Nothobranchius furzeri: one gene and its partners. The protein of the gene in region 1 purifies or fractionates together with the protein of each later gene. This does not show direct contact. Links are inferred from orthologs where the notes say so. Each region holds a gene or a part of one and is shown in the gene's direction. Other genes may lie near its edges. The genes, in order: stat1a, irf9 and proto-oncogene tyrosine-protein kinase Src.

What was found.
Region 2: the proteins of stat1a (region 1) and irf9 purify together in Homo sapiens (affinity purification with western blotting; 5 studies listed by BioGRID and IntAct, with this or other methods). This does not show direct contact. The link is inferred for Nothobranchius furzeri from reciprocal best matches to the Homo sapiens genes STAT1 and IRF9.
Region 3: the proteins of stat1a (region 1) and proto-oncogene tyrosine-protein kinase Src purify together in Homo sapiens (affinity purification with western blotting; 3 studies listed by BioGRID). This does not show direct contact. The link is inferred for Nothobranchius furzeri from reciprocal best matches to the Homo sapiens genes STAT1 and SRC.

Annotation. Positions count from the first base shown.
Region 1 is NC_091743.1:83,712,736-83,719,237, forward strand, and holds part of stat1a (signal transducer and activator of transcription 1a), read left to right. Parts: intron 1-1,767; 5' UTR 1,768-1,770; coding exon 1,771-1,898; intron 1,899-5,660; coding exon 5,661-5,805; intron 5,806-5,891; coding exon 5,892-5,987; intron 5,988-6,073; coding exon 6,074-6,160; intron 6,161-6,242; coding exon 6,243-6,321; intron 6,322-6,425; coding exon 6,426-6,502. UniProt on the Homo sapiens protein: Signal transducer and transcription activator that mediates cellular responses to interferons (IFNs), cytokine KITLG/SCF and other cytokines and other growth factors.
Region 2 is NC_091747.1:62,724,776-62,731,277, forward strand, and holds the end of irf9 (interferon regulatory factor 9), read left to right. Parts: intron 1-2,405; coding exon 2,406-2,536; intron 2,537-2,622; coding exon 2,623-2,710; intron 2,711-2,840; coding exon 2,841-2,900; intron 2,901-2,972; coding exon 2,973-3,362; intron 3,363-3,441; coding exon 3,442-3,557; intron 3,558-3,860; coding exon 3,861-3,992; 3' UTR 3,993-4,513; downstream 4,514-6,502. Other genes in the region: emc9 (ER membrane protein complex subunit 9), read right to left, coding at 5,105-5,285, 5,499-5,593, 5,693-5,762, 5,838-5,914.
Region 3 is NC_091743.1:58,648,339-58,654,840, forward strand, and holds part of proto-oncogene tyrosine-protein kinase Src, read left to right. Parts: intron 1-2,822; exon of another isoform or gene 2,823-2,916; intron 2,917-3,603; 5' UTR 3,604-3,611; coding exon 3,612-3,885; intron 3,886-6,502. UniProt on the Homo sapiens protein: Non-receptor protein tyrosine kinase which is activated following engagement of many different classes of cellular receptors including immune response receptors, integrins and other adhesion receptors, receptor protein tyrosine kinases, G protein-coupled receptors as well as cytokine receptors.

The DNA of each region.
Region 1 (6,502 bases):
TATATTCACGCTTATGTGCTTAAAGGAAAACTCCCGTTTATTGCAACCCAGACTTAATTTCTAGCATGCAGTATGTTTGTTTACTCACGCTGACAACTTTGGTGCTACTTGGATTCCCCGGAGTATTTAGATCCGTCGGCGAATCGCCGTCAGCGTATATCCATATAACGGGTGCGGACGGGCACCCATGGTGCAGCCTCGAAATAAAACATTATCTGCACCAAAACATCTCAATGTCGAAAGGTTTTGTTAGGAATCATTAACGTGATTCCCCTGTTCGTTTGGAGCGAGTCTGGGATTTCTAGGCGTAAACAGACTAGCCGCGGCTAATCTAACCGGCGCTTTTAATGACGTCACCGCCGTGCGCCAATCTGTTTTTATTAGATTACCGGTAGATGTACCTTTGTCCTACTGTGGAGAAATTCGTTTTCTCCCTTTATTGACCAACAGAGTTGTTCAGAAGTACAGAACAAAACATATGGCATTACAGCTTATGACAAAAATGCACCTTAAACAGAGTTTAAGCAGCAAAACATCACTCTGCAAATAGTGTATATATAGTGAGACAATTCATGATTTAAAGTGTTAACTTTCGCCAGTTTTTGTATGCATGTTTTAAAAAATGCTGATACTTGAAAGGTTTAAGCACTTAATGCACTTAATTCTTAACATTTAATTTTTGCAATATAAATTGAGGAATGTTATTTTTGAATAAACTTGTTCAATAAATTGGTGTTTTCAAATAGTATCAAAATCGAGTAGAGTTTTTTTCCAGTATCGAATCGAGTTTGAAATTTTAGTATCGTGACAACCCTACTCCACATACCTATTTCATGATCATTTTTAACTCAGAAGTACCCCTGAAGGACTTAGTTGTTCATCCTTTTATCAAAACTTATTTTGAGCCTGAGAGGGTTAATCATTTAGTCCAGTTGATGATACATTAAACTGAAGGTGGGGGAAAGTCATTTAATCATTACATTTGCAGTGGTCTGGTAGGAATGAATGCCTAGTAAGTCGTACTCGGAGGAAAATAAAGCCCAGAAATGCTTGGATCAGCACGGGCAAGTCTGCTGCCTCAGAGAGGGGCAGCAGACTGTCTATCAGAAGCTAATGCAGGAGATAGGTGTTGGAGACTATTTTCAGGTTCAGCCTGCATGAAAATCTCAGCGTGACCGATTATAATCAGAAATAATCATGTAAGATATTTTTCAGTGGTTTTCCAGGCCCAATCCCAATACTCGTACTTCCACAATTGCACTCTTCAATTGCGCAATCCTGACCAAGGGTGCGAGTGCGTAAAGTGTCCCGGTTCTCAAGTGCGGAAGTTGACCATACCCCTTTTGCACCCTTGATCTGCGCTTCACCCAAGTCCGCATCAATCCAAACTTGGGTGAAGTTTATTACCCACAATCCATTGCTTAGGGAGAAAAGGCTCAAGTGCCTTTTAAATATGTATTTTCAAATTAAAATACTTCATTTTAGGACGATTAGTTGATGCTCTGAATGTTTTAGACAAAGCAGCAATCATTGTAAATGTATTTAAAATAATTGTTTGAAAATTGTTAAAAACAATAAAAATAAACTTTATTAAGTAGCACAGCGACCAGCATCCCAGCATGTGTTGCGGTTGCTTACACAATGCTCCCTGTCGCAATTCTGCAATTATTTGCTCACTTAACACCTTAATGCGTTTATTGGGATTGGGCCTCAAGCTCTTTGTCCCCTAATTTCCTAATTTATCATGCACCTGCTCTTGTTCACCAGAAGATGGCGCAGTGGGTCCAGCTTCAGATGTTGGACTCTAAGTACCTGGAGCAGGTGGACCAGCTGTACGACGACTCCTTCCCCATGGACATCCGACAATATCTGAGCAGGTGGATTGAGAGCATCGACTGGTAAGAAGTCCAACCCTAGATGGAAAATCACTGTCCGGGTAGAAAACTAAATAAGGGGCTGCTGCGTCCCTGCAAATCATGTTGTCCCCTTTGGTCAGCTGATCAGCTGCTTCTGAGAGTGATATGGATGAAGCGTAATAGGGCTGCAACAACGAATCGATAAATTCGATGAAAATCGATTACTAAAAGCGTTGGCAACGAATTGCGTCATCGATTCGTTGTGTCGCACAACTCTTCCAAAAGCCCCCCCTCCTGGCCGCCATTGCGCGCAGACTGGAGCAAGTCAGATCAGCGCGAGGGAGAGCCGGCAGGTGTTTGGAAGAGGAACATGGCAGAAGCAGCAAGACCCAAAAAAGTAAAAACTTCTAAAGTTTGGGAGCATTTTCAGTTAAATCAGGCGAAGACATTCGTTACCTGCAACGTTTGTAGGTCAGACTTAGCATGGCACGGGAGTACTGCAGTGATGATGCAGCATCTTAAAAGCAAGCATGTCGGAATCATCAGCGAGGAGGGAGAGAGCTCTTTGTCCGGGTAAGTTAAAAACTTTTCAAAAGTGATTCACCCAAGTCCCGGATTATTACACAGGCTAGACATGCCCTAAGCTCGTTAAAAAAAGTCTATAAAATCGTAAGCGCAACGCTATTAGATAAAGGGGGGGGGGGGGGGGACTCGCGCTGCTGCGAACCGGTTCCGCCGTCACATTCCCGCAGAAACTGGTTGATCACACCGGGGCCAGACTACTAGCACCACAATGTCCTCAGAAGCGAAAACGCTTTTAAAAGGGAGGGAGGAGTCCTAACTGTTGCTGCAGGCGTGTTGTGTGAGAGTGCAGTTATTTACTGGTTAATATATTTTTGGGTTCAGTTGCTTTCATGTGGCCTAATGTGAGTCTATTTGGGATCATTGGAATGATCAGCAGCATTTCTTGATGTGACTTTATGGCAGTTGCCCAGGGCATCATCGTAAGGAGGATGGCATTCATTTACTTTTGTTTTATTTGGTATTTTTTCAGTCATTTTTGGAAATAGTGATTAATTTTGATTAATTCACAGCCTATGTTTAATTACATTTAAAAATTAGTTGTTTAACATCCCCAATTATAATAAATGTCTGCAGATGAGATCAAACAAAACAGATGAGAATTGCCCTTAAAGAGCAAGTCACCCCCAAATAAACTTTATTTTTTGCTGATAAACTAAATAAATGAGTGTCTAATCGTGCTGCAGACACGTGTCGTCAATAATTTGGCACTTCAGTGTAGGGCTGCTCAATTAATCGAATTTTAATCACGATTACGATCTGAGTTTTGAACGATTATAAAAAACAAAACAAGCCGATTATTTGCTCCTCCCACTTGCGCTGCCCTGAGTTGCAAATGAAGCGCTCCTCACAGTGTTGCCAACTTAGCGACTTTGACGCTATTTCTAACAGCTTTTTAGACCCCCTTCTTGACTTTTTAAATCTTAAAAGTACCTAGCGAACATCTCAGAAACATCTCTGGTAACCTTTAGCTACTTTCAGGATAACTGTCGTTGATGTTTCCTGCAGGTTAGCTAAACACTCTGCCTGAGCTCCGGACCGTTCTTCACAACATTAGGAAAGGGAATGATGTAGTGATGTGTCGGTCGCTACAGAAACGGCTCTCAGAGTTGGCTCTGTTGGATTAACCAGAGTGAGTGACACACACACTGTAACTTCTGAGCCGCTAAAAACGGCTAAATGTGCGCGTGCGGCGCGCTAAACACACGTGCAGCTTGCCCCTGATTGCTGTGAGACCGGGTTGGGAGGTGGGGGGTGCAGCTGTGGTTGGGACAATTATTACATTAACTGATGGACTTGTAAATAACTAGTTTATAAATAAGGTAGAAATAAGTTCCTCACGCTGATAAACAATAACTAATCTCTCTGAGGAGACAGTGCTAGTGCACGCTCCTACAGCACCTTGACACGACTCAATAAATGTTATACAACATTTTGTGAACATCAATTTATTTGCATTTATTTGTTATAAATGCCACTGTATAATTCTTGCTGTCAGTATTTGCAAGATATTGGTATTTGGGTCTGTACTGGTTAGACTTATATGAGTTAAACCAAGGTCTATAGCCCTTGTGTCATAAACTATGAGCTGTAAGTATATTGGTCTTTTTATACTGGGAATCAGGAGTTATTTTAGTGATCATCTTGTTTCTTATCACACACCAGCTCAGTGGTCTAGTGGTAGAGTGTCCGCCCTGAGACTGGGAGATCAGGGTTCGATTCCTGGTCGGGTCATACCAAAGACTTTGAAAAAATGGGACCCAATGCCTCCCTGCTTGACACTCAGCATTAAGGGTTGGATTGGAGGGTTAAACCACCAAATTGTTCCCGAGCGCGGCTGTGTCTGCAGCTCACCGCTCCCCCAGGGGATGGGTCAAATGCGGAGAACAAATTTCGCACACACATCAGTGTGTGTGACAACTAATGGGACTTTAACTTTAACTTTATTTTGTCCTGATTGTGCCCTGAGCAATTTTATGACTGAATAAAAACAAATAAAATCAACATAAATAGAAAAATCGTCTTAAATAATCGAGATCTCAATTTCAGTCACAATAATCGTGATTATTATTTTTGCCATAATCGAGCAGCTCTACTTCAGTGCATCTTAGTTCAAATTTAAATATTCTGCCTAAAACTGGCAGTGTTGTGCCGTTGTCAGGTAAAAACTCTGCACTGTATTTTAATTTAAATCTGCCACCGCTATTGGCTAAGAAGTATGCTATGATGTAAACTGGTACATTATGATGTCACAATGCTGTCGTGAGCCTGAGTGTGTGTGTATTTGTTAGCGGCTCCGCCCTCTCGGTCTGCCAGGCAACAGCATTTGTTGCATTTTTCAAACATGAAGTGGGAGTGGAGTTAGACTCTGGTAGGGGTTGACTTGCTCTTTAAGCTGTTTAACTTGGACCAAGCATTTTAGGTCACAGATAGGTGTAGCTTAGGGTCTCTGCCTATACACCTTGTAAGACAATTTAGGTGATGGCATGTTGTTTTTCTGCTATTGAACTGTTTTCTAATAATGTTGTGTTTAATAAAGTGAAGGAAGGAGAGAAATAACGTTTCCCTAGCAGTTTTTAAAATTGTCCCTATGTAATCCGATTAATCGTGTCGAGACCCCATCCGATTCATCGATTATCCAAATAATCGTTTGTTGCAGCCCTAAAGCGTAAGTCAGTGTTTCCCCTAGAATTGTTGCCAGTCATGTCGCCTGGGTTCTGCTCGCAAAATGCTACAATGCTGCGTCTCCTGTGGGGGGTGTCTCGTAGATGTGGTGCTAGAATTTCAGCCGTGGTGCAGCTCCACTCCTGCGCCTATGCAGGAGAAACTGTAAGTTCAGTGGAGACCATGTCTTTGCTTTAACTGCTCCTGAATTATGGAACCACCTTCCCTTGGACATCAGGCAGTCCTCAACCCCATCTTGTTTAACCCTAACCCTACAAAAGGCATTAGCTTTAAATTGTTTTTCTTTTTTTTTTTATTAAACTTTTCATTTTTATCTTGACTGATTGCATAATTATTTTTCCTTACTTGTAGGTCTTTTTGCTGTAACTATTTTTATTACGTAGCCTGTTTTATTATTTTTCTACACATCACTTTGGTGCTGTAGGTGTTTAAAATGTTTTATAAATAAAGCTTTTATGAACGGTGCCCTTCAACATCTGGCGTAACCGTGGTGGGACCTCTGTAAGATAACTCCGTTGTTGTTTTGGATCTTCTTAGGGATACGGTGGCATCACAGGACTCCCTGGCAACTGTTCGGTTTCACGAGCTCCTGGCTCAGCTGGATGATCAGCACAGCCGCTTTGCTCTGGAGAACAACTTCCTGCAGCAGCACAACTTCCGTAAGATCAAGAGGAACCTGCAGGTCAGAGCCCCACGTTCTCTACTCGTGTCAGAGTGAGTTAAAACTAAGAAAGTGACTGCGTAAACATGGAGCACTTGTTTCTCCAGGATCGGTTTCAGGAGGACGCCCTCCATATGGCCATGATCATCTCCAGAAACTTGAAAGAGGAGCAGAAGATCTTGGCCAATGCAAAGGATTCTGTGGTAAGACCTGCAGCTAGACTCTGCTTTAATCCATCTAGATTTTATTTAAAGATGCTTTAATCATGAATTTGACAATGCTTCTGCAGCAGGAGAAGGAGGGGACGGTTTCAGCCATGGTGGTGGAGAAGCAGAAGCTGGACAACAAAGTGAAGGAGATGAGAAACATTGTTCAGGTGAAACAAACACGTTTCAGCCACATTTAAATAATCTCTGCTGTTCCTTTACCACAGCTAAAGGAGAGTTTCCTTTGTTCAGATTATCGACCAGAACCTGAAGAATCTGGAGGACCAGCAGGATGAATACGATTTCCAATTCAACACGCTGAAGAACAGAGGTAGGAAAGTGCAGATGACCCAGAAGAACAAGGAAACTTAGACTGAAGTGGCTTGTTCTGATGTTTGAGTGAAGCTGATGTCTGGTTATGTCCATCACCTGCAGAGAACGACGTGAACGGCATGACGCCAAAGGAGCTGGAGGCAGAGAAGTTAGTCATCATGAAGATGTGCCTTGAACTG
Region 2 (6,502 bases), on another chromosome or scaffold:
CAGTAAATCTTCTCTCCTTCTTGCTTGTTAGTGGGCTTATCGATTCTAAGAGTCCACGATCTGTTCCTATAACACCATTAGCTCATTTGCACCTGGATTCTTATCCAAGATAAGGGATACCCCTCTTGCCCCCTCCCGTCTCAGGAAGTCAAGAGGTTACAACAGAACCGTGGGACCGAACCAGTGAAAGGCACGTCTTTAGCAAACACACACACACACACACACACACACACACACACACACACACACACACACACACACTTTTTAAACAAAGGAAAGCAGCCAGCATGATTTGGTTTTATCATAACTGAGAATGAATCCAGACTTGATCTTGTTTACTTCACAAGTCTGAGTCCATCAGCTGGGATGAGTTATACCAGAGCTCGGTTCTGGTCTGGAGTATCAGATAAACGTTAAACGCGGAGTGCTGCTGCGGTCTCATGAACACCAGCCATGGCAGACGTTCGTTTCCTGTTTCTGTCTGAGCGGCTCCTGATCACGATGTTTGTCTGTGACGTAGTTTACGAGTCAGGCCCGTTTCTGTCGAGTCAGCTGAAGCTCCAGGCAGACGTGTTGGGATCAGATCAGCTGGGTGGACTTTAGCCGTGTTCTGGGAGGCAGGTCTTTATTCACGCAGGGCGTCAACCTACCAACCAGCTCGGGTTTATGATGCAGCGGCTTCCACGAGTCAGGCTCAGCTGGTCGGTGACTCAGCCACGAGTTTTGTTTTTATACAGTCAAATAAGAGAAAAGGGATTATTTACTCCATCGGGTAACCTGATACTTTATTTTTTAAACTTTATTAAAACGGGGCAAGTCGGGCTTTAATGATAAAAAATTATTAATAATAAAAAATGAGCCGCACTTGTGTAGCGCCTCTCAGAGTCAGGACTCCAAAGTGCTTTACACTACAGTGCATCATTCATCCATTCACACACACATTCACACACTGGTGGGGATGAGAGGCGAGGCTGCCGAGCACAGGCGCCACCGGTCCCTCCGACCACCGCCAGCAGGCAAGGTGGGTTAAGTGTCTTGCCCAAGGACACAATAGCAGAATTCTCTGTCCGGAGCCGGGATCGAACCTGCAACCTTCCGATTACTGGACAACCCGCTCTACCTCCTGAGCTACTGCTGCTTTATAATAATAAAAAAAGTGAAACTTTAAGATAACAAAGCTGAATTTTACTCACACTCCCTCGTGTTGCTTTTTATGCACTGATCGGGGCAGTGGGCCGATACCGATTTTTGCTAATGATTTAAGTCTCTGATCGAGTTTAAAAAGATGATTCTGGAAGCAAACTTCCATGAAGACGACCTGAATTGTTCTGATAAGTTAGTTCTTAGGGAAAATGTACGTTTATTAAAAACCATCACTGCTTCTTGGCAGAGGGGCGTTGGCGGTAAGACCCTTTGATCAGGCTGAATTAATTCATTAGATTTAGTGAATCTGATCATTTAAAACAAACCTTTTGAGTTTAGTTTCACACTTTTGCATCAAACAAGCAATTAACTACAAATAAGACCAAATATGAGGAGGTCTTTTGGGTGCTTGAAATGCTTGAAAGTTTATGAAAGTGCTTAAAAATGTGACATAAATGATTTAAAGGACAATAACAGATTTGTACTGAGCAAAGAAGTAAAAAAACAGGTTTTATATTTAAATTTCACCTTAAATTAGCTTAAATATTTTTGTGAAGATCTTAAAGGTTTTAGATAAGGTCTAAAAATAGTTTTTCTGACGTAAAAGTGAATAATTCTACTGTTTTGTGGTGTATTTTATTTTATTTTTTTTTTTGCTTTAAATATAAAATAATTGTTTGACCTCATCATGTCGGGCCTTTCCCAGCTCAACGACGCCCGACTCAAACAGAAACTAGAAGCGTCTGAGCCCAGAAAAGCTCCTCGTGGTAAATGGTCTGTATTTGATATGGCGCCTTCTAGAGTCCTGAACCCCCCAAGGTGCTTTACAACACAATCAGTCATTCACCCATTCACATACTGGTGGGAATGAGCTACGATGTAGCCACAGCTGCCCTGGGGCGCACTGACAGAGGCGAGGCGGCCGAGCACTGGCGTCACCGGTCCCTCCGACCACCACCAGCAGGCAAGGGGGTTAAGTGCCTTGCCCAAGGACACAACGACAGCGACAGACTAAGCGGGGCTCGAACCTGCAACCTTCCGATTACGGGGCGAGCTCTTAACTCCTGTGCCACCGTCGCCCCCTCACGACTCAAATGAAAGGATGTTTGTGATGGTCTGAGGAGCACAAACCCAGTTCTGTTGGATCCGATCTCAGCAGAAGGGAGGTTTTAAACAGAACCGGCACCGACTAAAGAATTTCATCTGCTTTCATTTTTTTATCAGCCATCATTTAAACAGTGGCTCGTCCGCTCTCGGTCCAGGTGTGGTGATACCGGAGAAGAAGACCAGAGAGAAGAGCAGCAGGAAGCTGAAGAGGAGGAAGAGCCAGCCTGACGACGAAGACTCCGGTCGGGTCAGACTGATAAAGACAGAAGAGGTCGCGTCTCAGCCGGTGAGTCCTTCGGTCATCTGCTGTTCGTGGGATTAAAGGTTCTGGAGTTCCTCTGGGTCGTCATCGTTTCTGTTTGTTCTGATCAGCTGTGTGTGGACGAGCCGCTGCTGCAGAACCACGAGCCCGTCCAATCAGAGGGCCCGTCTCGGTGCACCACCATCAGCACCGGAGATGGTGAGTTTCCATGGAAACCGTTTTTCCCGTCTACCTTTAGCTTCTCTCTTTAAACGGGACGTGACCTCTGACCTTCAGCGGGTTCTCGGAACCTGTTTGTGTGTCTGATTCGTCCATCTTCTGTCTGCAGCGCTGGATGAGATCCGGTTGGACGTGCGGATCGAGGAGAGCGTTCCCAGCGCAACAAGCGGTAAGAGGAGCTCAGGGGACGCCCGTGTCCTGGACGGGTTTTGGGTTTTAATTCGGTCCTGTGTCTCTACAGCTGACGACTCCTTCGATGTGGCGATTCGTTATTTAGGACAGGAAGTCCTCAGACGTCAGATCCAAGGCACAGATGTCCGGATAACGTACCTGCCTTCCTCCTCCGTCCCTCCGACTTTGGCCGCCCTGAACGCCAGGTTTCCTCGGATCCCGCTGCCGGAGCCGCCGTCCTCGCTGCTGGCCGGGCCCACGCTGCAGGCGCTCCACACGCTGCTGCCCTTCATGGAGAAAGGAATCGTGCTGACCTCCACGCCACAGGGAGTGTACGGGAAGAGGTTCTGCCAGGGCCGGATCTTCTGGATGGGACCTCACAGCGTCACGCCGGGCCCACACAGGATGGAGAGGAACACGGAGCCGGTGCTGCTCTTCAGCAAGGACGCCTTCAAGCAAGGTGAGCGGGGCGCGTTCACCCTGAATCGTCATGGAAACCACCACACACAGAGACAGATGTTTCTGTCATGTCTCCTCAGAACTGGACCGGTTCTGCTCCGCCGGTGGGGAGCGTCCCCAGACCAGCTTCAATCTGTGTTTCGGAGAAGAGCTGAACAACACGGAAGACCTGAGCAATAAGCTCATCATCGCTCAGGTAGAACCGCGGCTCAGCAGCCTACGTCACGCCGCAGGGCGTGGATTTCAGCCCGTTGTCATGGTTACGTGTGAAACGCCTCCAATAAGCAGCTCCATTTATAACAGTTATATTTATGGTAGACAGCAGGTGTGTAGGAGGGGTGGGACAGGTGTGGGCCTGCTGCAGGTGTGTGTGTTGGTGTTGGTAAGGATGAAGCCCCGGGTGTCCTTCAGGTGTTAGATGCTTCTCTGCTCACACACCTGGTGTCAGACCAACGGGCTCCTGTGGATCATCTAACTGAACCTGCCGTCTGCTCCGTAGGTCTCTCTCCCGTGGGCCGAACAACAAGTCCAGAACTCCGTCTCCTTCTTCGAAACCATCTCGGTGTTCCAGACGCTGGCGGGCCAGTCTCCTCTGGGTGAGATCACCCTGGACATCGTCACGGTGCCGTAGTCCTGCGCCTGCTCCGCCAAAAGATCTGCTGCAGCAAAACCCACCTGAAGCAGACGCAGCAGGAGCTCCGCCCAGAGACTCGATGGTTCCTGCTGTTGCAGTTTTTCTTTTACGTTTAATCCAATTTCACAAAAGGACGGAGAGAAGATCCAGTTTTTCAGTTTAAAGCTGAAAATGAGTGAAGCACCTTTAGTGGGAACACTACACGATAACCCGGGGCGTCGTTGGGATTCACCCAGGCTGAGATCTGGTGTCACTTTATTTTTGAGGTGCTTTTAACGGTCGGCCCAGGTTTGTCTGTGCTGCATCGGCAACTTCAGACGTTTAGAGTGAAGAAACCACAAAACCACGTGGGCAGTGAAAATGACGTTTTATTGTTGTTAAATGCTTTAGTTCTCTTTTATTAGCTTTTAGAAATGATCGTTTTTCTCCTCAGAATTTAGTTTTTACTGATTTTATCTGAAAATGTTCATTGAAAAAAGAAACATTAAAACCGGCGCTCCAACATAAAACATTTTCTGTGAAACTCGCCTCAGATATTACTTCAGCATTACTTTTACCGTCTTAGAGCTCAGACTATAATCTAGATTATAAAAGGTTCAGATTGTTACAGAAAGGTCAGTCGAGTTTAAATGAGACTTAAATGTCCTGCAGCAAATACTTTTACTCTTAAACCACGCAAGGAGTTTTTAAGGATCACACTAATAAAAATAAGTAATAAATACAAGCATAAGCTAAAACATAATCCTTTAATCTGGGGAAATTTGTAGGGAATAATAATTTCATGCAGGTTTGATGCGACAGTAAAAAGCTCCAGCAGCTGAATTCGTCTAATCTGTCGCTGCAGGACTTTTACGTTCGAGTTTTTGCTTTTCCAAGATGATAAATCAGGAAAACGGGACCAGAAATAAACAAGAGGAGTAGCTTTAGTTCTTAAGGTGGATTTAATCCACCTTAAAAAGGGGAGAGATGTAAATATTCTATTATTTATGCACGTTTGTCTTTGTTCAAACACAAATAAATCCTGTCCTGGACTCTGCGCTTGTGAAAATCCACCTTTACAGAACAACACGACAGGCAGGTTTTACCACGGAATGATGCGGCGTTCCCATCTAAATGTTCCCATTAACTGGAGAGCAAAGCTCTGCTATCTTGCTGTTGAGTTTCTGATTGGTCCAGTCCCTGGTGATGTCATCCAGGTGGCTGTCGAAGTCTACCAAGAGGGAGTGGTCACCAGAATCCAGCATCTGGCTGGCGACATCCCGGATCTCCTCCCACTGCCGCAGCATGATCCTGAACAGACCCACGGAGATCATCAGTTACACGCGCCGGCCACTTTGATAGGTACACAAATAACCGATCAGCCAATCAGAAGGTGGCAACTCCGTGAGTTTAGTCATACAGGTGTGATGAAGTTTAGTGCTCGGCTCACGTGAGCCTGGTTTAAACCACAGACTACCCGAGTGGTGGTGGTGAACCTCAGGCCACCCCCCCGCTGATTCTTACGTGTGTTTGTCTTTGAGCGTCCATCTTGAATCTTTGCGTTCGTACATGACGATCGGAGGAACTCGATAATCTGGAGACATTTTGCTGCCGTCGAGCTGTGAGGAAACAAACCTGATCATAATCTGAGGGCAGAAGGTTCATTATTCATGAAAGACTCATTTAATAAAAACGTTCTGTTTCATCCGTTTTCTCACCATTAATAAAACGGCTCCATCAAACTGCTCAGCGATCTTATCAGCGATCTTCAGCGCGCACGGCGTCGGGCTGTCAGGAAACGCAACACGTTAGCGAGCGGTGGTGGGGTGTATCTGACCATGTGACTGGTGTGGAGAAGCTCACCTGCTGTCTGAGGTGCAGGCGTTGGCCTGATAATACCCGACTATCCTCTGCTGAGTCTGAGAACACCAAACATCCACCTGGAAAAACAAAAGCTTGAAATGTTCTGTGGAAGTTTAAAACATCCTGGAGAATCGAGCGGGACTCCAGGAAGTCTGGAGAAATAAATCCTGATTAAACAGGATCCACCTTCGCATTAGATGTCCTTGTTTTTGCACATTTAAACACATAGCTGCACCTGTGTCCAACTTGATGCAAGCTGAGACAAACATGGCTTTAGGTTTTAACCCTCTCAGGCTCTAAATAAGTTTTAATAAAAGGACGAACAACTAAGTCCTTCAGGGGTACTTCTGAGTTACAAAAATACTCATGAGATACGTGTGTGGAGTAACCAGGTAGGTAAGTTTTAACGTTGCAAATCTGAAACGCCTGTCTCCAGAGGGTTAATCTGGATCTGTTAGGACGACAGCTGCCCAGTTTATAAAAACATCTGCTTTCCCTGGTGTTCAGTAATACCCAGTAGGTTGTACGTTTTAATGTGTTTTTATGGATTTGAGTCTTTTATTTTGGCTTTAGTCTCTTAAAAGCTATCCTAGCCGTTAGCCTATCAGGCCTGTCATCACTAAACAGGTAAGATACGGATTAGTTATAACATTTATACAGAAACA
Region 3 (6,502 bases), about 25 Mb from region 1:
TAATTGAGCATCCGACACACGTGACCATAGAGCTAGCTCCGTGGAAAGGCCTCAGTAGAGCCTCCGTCTGGCTTGGAAACTGTTCCGGGATTTTGAGTCTCTGTGTGTGTGTATTCTTTTTTGGATATTTTTTGTGCAATTGTTGGACAAAATGACTTGCTGTGGCATTAATTGCACTAAAAGAGCGTCCAAGGAGTCTCCACTTCATTTTTTTCGGTAAGTAAAATTATATTCATGTATTTTGGGTCACTGCCGAGTTGAGCTTAGATTTTAACATGTACTGTTTAACCATGAAATTTAAATGTAATAGGGTAAAACCCAGTGCATTTAACATAATGCTGCACTTTAGAAAATGGGTTGAAATATAACATGTTGGTGGAGCTGGGTTCCGACTATCGGCTTGTGGAGCTCTTGGGAGACCGATGTTTTCCACCCTTATCCCTTCCCCACAGCCCGGTCCATCTCTGTCTGATCGCGGCTTCTGTTAGCTGCGCGGGCTGACGGCTGGTTCTTATGGCAAGCCAGAACCGCCAAAATACGCCACTTCTCCCCGCAGCTCGGCACATCTCTGTCTGATCGCGGCTTCTGTCTGCTGCGCGGGCTGCCGGCTTGTGGAGCTCTGAGATGGTAACCTTTGCACCCGGTTCTCCCCAGCGGCAGCTCTGCGCATCTCAGATCGCAGCGGCAAAACAAAAACAAATGTACCAAATCGGCACTCAACAGAAGTCGTAGCCTAGGGCTTCTAATGCTGCTGTTTACAAACTGGAAGTCTGTCTCCAAACGGAGTACAGATGAGCAGTAGCTTCTTTTGTCTTTCTTAAGTTGCACAAACATCTGTCTAAACGTCACCCTCAGCTCCTCCTCTCTTCCCTTTTATGGAATTGTCTGGGCTTGACGGAACCTTTGACACAGTCAAAATGGCGGTGGTGGCTACCTCCCATTTTAGCAGAAAAACTTGTTATTGAAGCCTATGGAAACCCATTGTCCATATATTTATGTAGATGGTTTTACTCCCTTTTTTTTTGTTTCCCTCCATCCATAGTTAGGAGCACCATGGTTGTAAAGCTAAGAGAAAAAAAATGAACCAAAATTCACAACGTGTCCAGCATCAATGCAGCCTTTTAATTTTTCTGCTTATCTTATTCAAGCTCTAAGACAAAGTGATCAACAAACATAATAGTTCAGAAGTCAGGATTCTGAGGTTTTTCTGAGAATAAAGTCTGAGATCTTTGTTTCTCTTCTGCTAGTGTCTACTCTAGAGATCATTTCTTGAAACAAACACTTTTGCAAAAGGAGTTTGGATATTTTTTTTTCATGGCATGTTGAGATTTGTTGGAAATGAAACAAATAAAACACAGATATAAAAATACTTCTGGTATTTTTAGTGCTGTTGCTGTGGAACTTCAATTCCATAAAAAAAACTGAAAACAACTTAAATCTGCATTTTTTAAAATTGTTTTTATGAACATGGGTCAGTTGTATTTCTCTCATTTGTAGTCATAGTTATTAAGAACCATTATGGAAGGTCCAGAGAGCCACTTGTGGCTCCAGAGCCGCTGGTTAGAGACCCCTGGGTCAGTTTAATGTGTCTGTTTCGAGCCCAAGCTAGCTTGAGCTCTCACCCTGCTGCTGTTCCACCCCTCATCTAGATCATCCAGTTTGGCTTTGATGCATACTGGGAAAAAACATTTCAGGAATGTATCCTTGCCTGTTTCCAGATCAATCTGAGTGGTTGTCATGCTTGAGTAAACGGTGACTCATGTGTCATGTTTAGGAGCTCATTTGCACGCAGGCTTTCAGGTGAACATGGATGTAAAAGCAAACATGTTCTTTTGTCATCAGAGGTTATTTACAGCCTTGGAAGAACTTGTTGTTGCTTCTCATGTCCCACTAGATGTTGCAACATCTGTATCTGCTGAGAATTTCTCGTCTGTTCTTGATCCTTTCATGTTTTTTGTGTTTAGGCCCTTTAAAGTGAGCTCACTTTAGGTAGGCACCACCCACTGACAGTGCAGACGCATACTGATGAAGCAACATAGTAATCAGTCTAAATCATAGTATTTTTCCTACTTTCTTAGCTCTCTGTATGAGGTGCTATTATCTAGCCCTGCGCTCATACACAGCCTGAAATGACCTTTAAGAGGATTTTTGCATACATTCCTGATATGCATGAGCATCCTACCTATTTGCTTGTATTGGCAGTCTAGGTGTGGCACGTGTGCCTCTGGTAAGTTTTAAACCAGTGTTGACTTAGTTCTTAATAGTGTTGACTTAGTTCTTAATGCCTAATGCGAAAGCTGACCCCTGACCCCCACCCCCACGTTGACATTTGTGCACATTCACGCTCCCTCAGAAGCTGAGTCGCCCACATGTCTTCTCAGTGGGATGCTGCCATGTCTCTGAGAATTCCCATACCTGTGTAATTATGTTATGCTCACACATCACACTTTAAACACCCACTAAGCCTCAGCTGTCCGGGCAGTACATAACAACCACCCACACGTTCTTTTTAAAGCCACAGCCAGTTTCCTTCCTCCGTGTCTGTTAATAACCTCCCCTGTCCTGTCCTGTCTGTCTGTCTGTCGGTGTGTGTTGGAAACTATCAAGTGTTGGAAAGGAAAAAAGGATGTGAGACACAACTGTACTTGGGTGCTAGTGTGCAGCTGAGCCTAGTTTCCTAGATGCGAGGGAACAGCTGCTAATGCACATGAACACACACACCCACCCCTATGCACTTTGGCGCGCTCTTGTCTGGAATCGAGAGTGCTTTAATTCAGAGGAACAAGACTGTGTTTCATGTGTGTATGACTGTCTTGTTTCAGCTGGCCTGAAATAGCTGGTCTCCCAGTGAGTCACTCCACAGAGCCTGAAGGGGAGGAACAGAACCGGTGTGCGAACAAGGCTCTCCAACTTTCTGTGGGTGCTCTTGACTGTGAGCTTGTTTGTCTTTGTGCTTACTGACAGCACACCCTCGACTCGCTGCGTTTATCGGGATGTAACAGATATATTTGACACCTCTGTGCCCTTGTCGGCTCACCAGCATTAATACTTTGCGTCGTTGAGACCCATGGCTGCTTTCTGTTTACAGCTTTGTTTACCTCGTTGATGCTTATTGATTCCAACTTGATTTAAACCGTTAAGCACGACCTTGGATTCTGATTGTGTGTGTGGTTTGTGTCTACTGTAAACGCAAGCAGTTCTAACTGACCTGGGAACAGCTCCAGGGATATTCTGGTGGATCGGGAGAGCTGGAATAAATGTGTTGACTGATTTGCCAACTTTTGGGGGGGGGGGGGGGGGGGGGTAAATATGTTAAAAGTTCCTGAGGAAAATCCTTTAAAACCATATTTCTTTGCTTTAAAGAAGACTAATAATTTTAACCACAGTGAAATCCAGTTTTACTGAATGTTTTTGTGTTTCATTACATGATGAAACACAAAAAAATGTGTTTCTTATAAAAAAAACACATTTAAAATGAAAGAAAAATGCATAACAAAGCTGAGAGACCCTTCATTTGCATAAAAATTGATTTTTGACGCTTTTACTTTTTGTAGCAGCTTTTGGTCTTACCGTATCCTTTCTGATGGTTGGCTCTTGTTCCAGGTCTGCACATGGGGGCGGGCAAAAGCAAGCCCAAGGAGCCAGGCCAGCGCTCCATGAGCCTGGACGGGACCATAGGCACCGGCTCCGATAGCGGACGCTTCCACCACTTGGACTCCACTCAGCAGACCCAGACCCCCAATCGAAGCCCTGCTGTTGGGACGGGCCGTCGGGGACAACAAGGGCAGCGCCAGCTTGCCCCGACAAATACCCCTGAACTGTCTCTCTTTGGAGGAGTGGACCACACGGGAAGTGTCATATCACCCTACAGAGGACTGCTGTCAGGTAGGAAATTAGATTGTGGCAGGTTTTTGTAAAACAAAGAGGTTTAGAAAGCTGAATATAGACCTAATAAATGGTTAAATTAAAACATACAGAATTCTTCTGTAAAAAATGATCTAGATTTAGTTAAAAATACATTTCAGATATAATCAGAATCAGAATGAATTTTATTGCCAGCGCTCAGATCAGATCAGAGCATAGGAACTTGACTCCATAGTACAACCTGACCAAGGTTACACACACATATATAGACAGGACAGATACAGGCAGACAGGCATAAATTAAATTATTTTTGGTTCAGATTAAAGCTTTACACCTCAACCATCCTCCCCTTAATTCTGGTGTTCCCCCTGCCTCTGTACTTGGATCTCTCCTGTTTATCATCTACCTCTTCCTTAAATTGACAATATTTTCCATAAAGATGACATTCAATACCAACATAGATGTAGCATAGAGGACACTCAGATCTACAGTGCTCAGCATAAATGAGTACACCCCCTTTTAAAAAGTATGAATTTAATTAGTTGCTTAATGAACAAAAGAACCATTTCCAGAATTTTGGCTGGGATTTATTGAACACTTGTCTAACTCCTTAAAATTAAATGAAGCTTTATAATATAACATAGATCACACAAACTTTTACTAAAATTGGTTGAAGCAAAAAGTGAATACACCCCCAACAAAATCTACTACATCTAGTATTTTGTAACACCACCATGATTTTCAAGGACAGTACCAAGTCTTCTAGGCATGGAATGAACAAGTTGGCGACATATTGCAACATCTGTCGTTTTCTATTCTTCAAGAATAACCTCGTTTAGAGCCTGGATGCTGGATGGAGATTGAGGCTCAACTTGCTGCTTCAGAATTCTCCACAGGTGTTTGATTGGGTTCAGATCAGGAGACATACTTGGCCATTCAAGCACCTTCACCCTGTTCTTCTTCAGAAATGCAACAGTAGCTTTAGATGTGTGTTTTGGTTCATTGTCGTGTTGGAATAGCCTGGCAAGCCAGACTAAATAAATGTATTATTTAGTCTGGCCATGCTCCGTTGACGGCTCTCGGTTGTGGGGCGGGTTCTACCGTTGTCTTTCAAATGATCTCCGCATTCCACTGGACAATGAATGTGACATACTCTTGTTTCACTCTGTGGCATCATCCCACCCACCAGGCATATAGAGTGCCCTGATTGGCCCACAAAGCGGATAAAGCTCTGTGATTTGTTCACTAAGCAGATAGAGCACTATGATTGGCCCACCATTATGGACCAATCACAGCTCTTTATGTGTTTGAAACCCCTCTAGAGAGCTGTGATTGGCCAGCCAGAGTCCTGGTAGGAGCTGCTGAGGTTCCAATGGAGCGTGTCTAGACCATTCTTTGCAAAGCAAGAATTTGGTCTAGTTCACTAGGCTAGTGTTGGAAAAGTGATTGCAGCATCTTCTCCTTCAGAATAGAGTAGTACATTGTTGAGTTCATGATACCAGCACCCCAACACCAGCAGCACTCATGCAGCCCCACATAAGGACACTGCCACCACCGTGTTTCACTGTAGGCACCATGCATTTCTCTTTGAAATCCTCACCTTTACAACAGCACACAGTTTTGAAACCATTAGTTCCAAAAACTGATCTTTGTCTCATCACTCCAGAGTCTGGAGTCCCAGTAGTCAATCTTTTTCAGCATGGGCCCTAGCAAATACTTGGAGTGTTTTTTTGTGCATGGGCTTTAGGAGGAGCTTCCTTCGTGGACAATACCCATGCATGCCATTCCTCTGCAGTGTGCGCCGTATGGTGTCACAGGAAACGGTCTGCTATAGCTAACTGTAGTGAACTTGCATGGCGATTTTCTTCAACCCTTCTTATCAGAAGATGCTCCTGTCGAAGTGTTAACTTGTATAGATGGCCTGGACGTCTCTGTAAGATGGTTGCTCTTCCATCTTTCTTAAACTTTGGATCATTTTGCTACAGTATTTTGATTGATATGTAAAGCTTTGCTGATCTTCTTGTAGCCTTCACCTTTTTTGTGTAAAGAAATGATTTCTTTCTCAGATTTTGTTATTTCTCTTCCATGTGGCGCCATTGCTGACAGTATGAAATGGGAACAGCTTTTCTTTGCTAGGTAATGCATTTAGATAGTCACCTGTCTGCTGGACACCTCTTAAATGAATCATTAGACTCACCTGTGGTTGAATGCCTGTTCATTAGAATTTTGTAGTCTTAAGTGTGGCTTTTTTCCTAAGACTATAATTGGGGTGTACTCATTTTTGCAACATGGGCTGGAATGGATTTGTTAGCAAAATCCCTTTTTTGTGTGTGGAAATGGACAAATCTTATTTGCAATCAATGGCCCACATTTGCGGGAGTGCTACAGGTCCTTTAAAAAAAATTAGCATATTGTGATAAAGTTCATTATTTTCTGTAATGTACTGATAAACATTAGACTTTCATATATATTAGATTCATTACATACAACTGAAGTAGTTCAAGCCTTTTATTGTTTCTAATATTGATGATTTTGGCATACAGCTCACGAAAACCCAAAATTCCTATCTAAAAAAATTAGCATATCATGAAAAGGTTCTCTAAACGAGCTATTAACCTAATCCTCTGAAACAACTAAT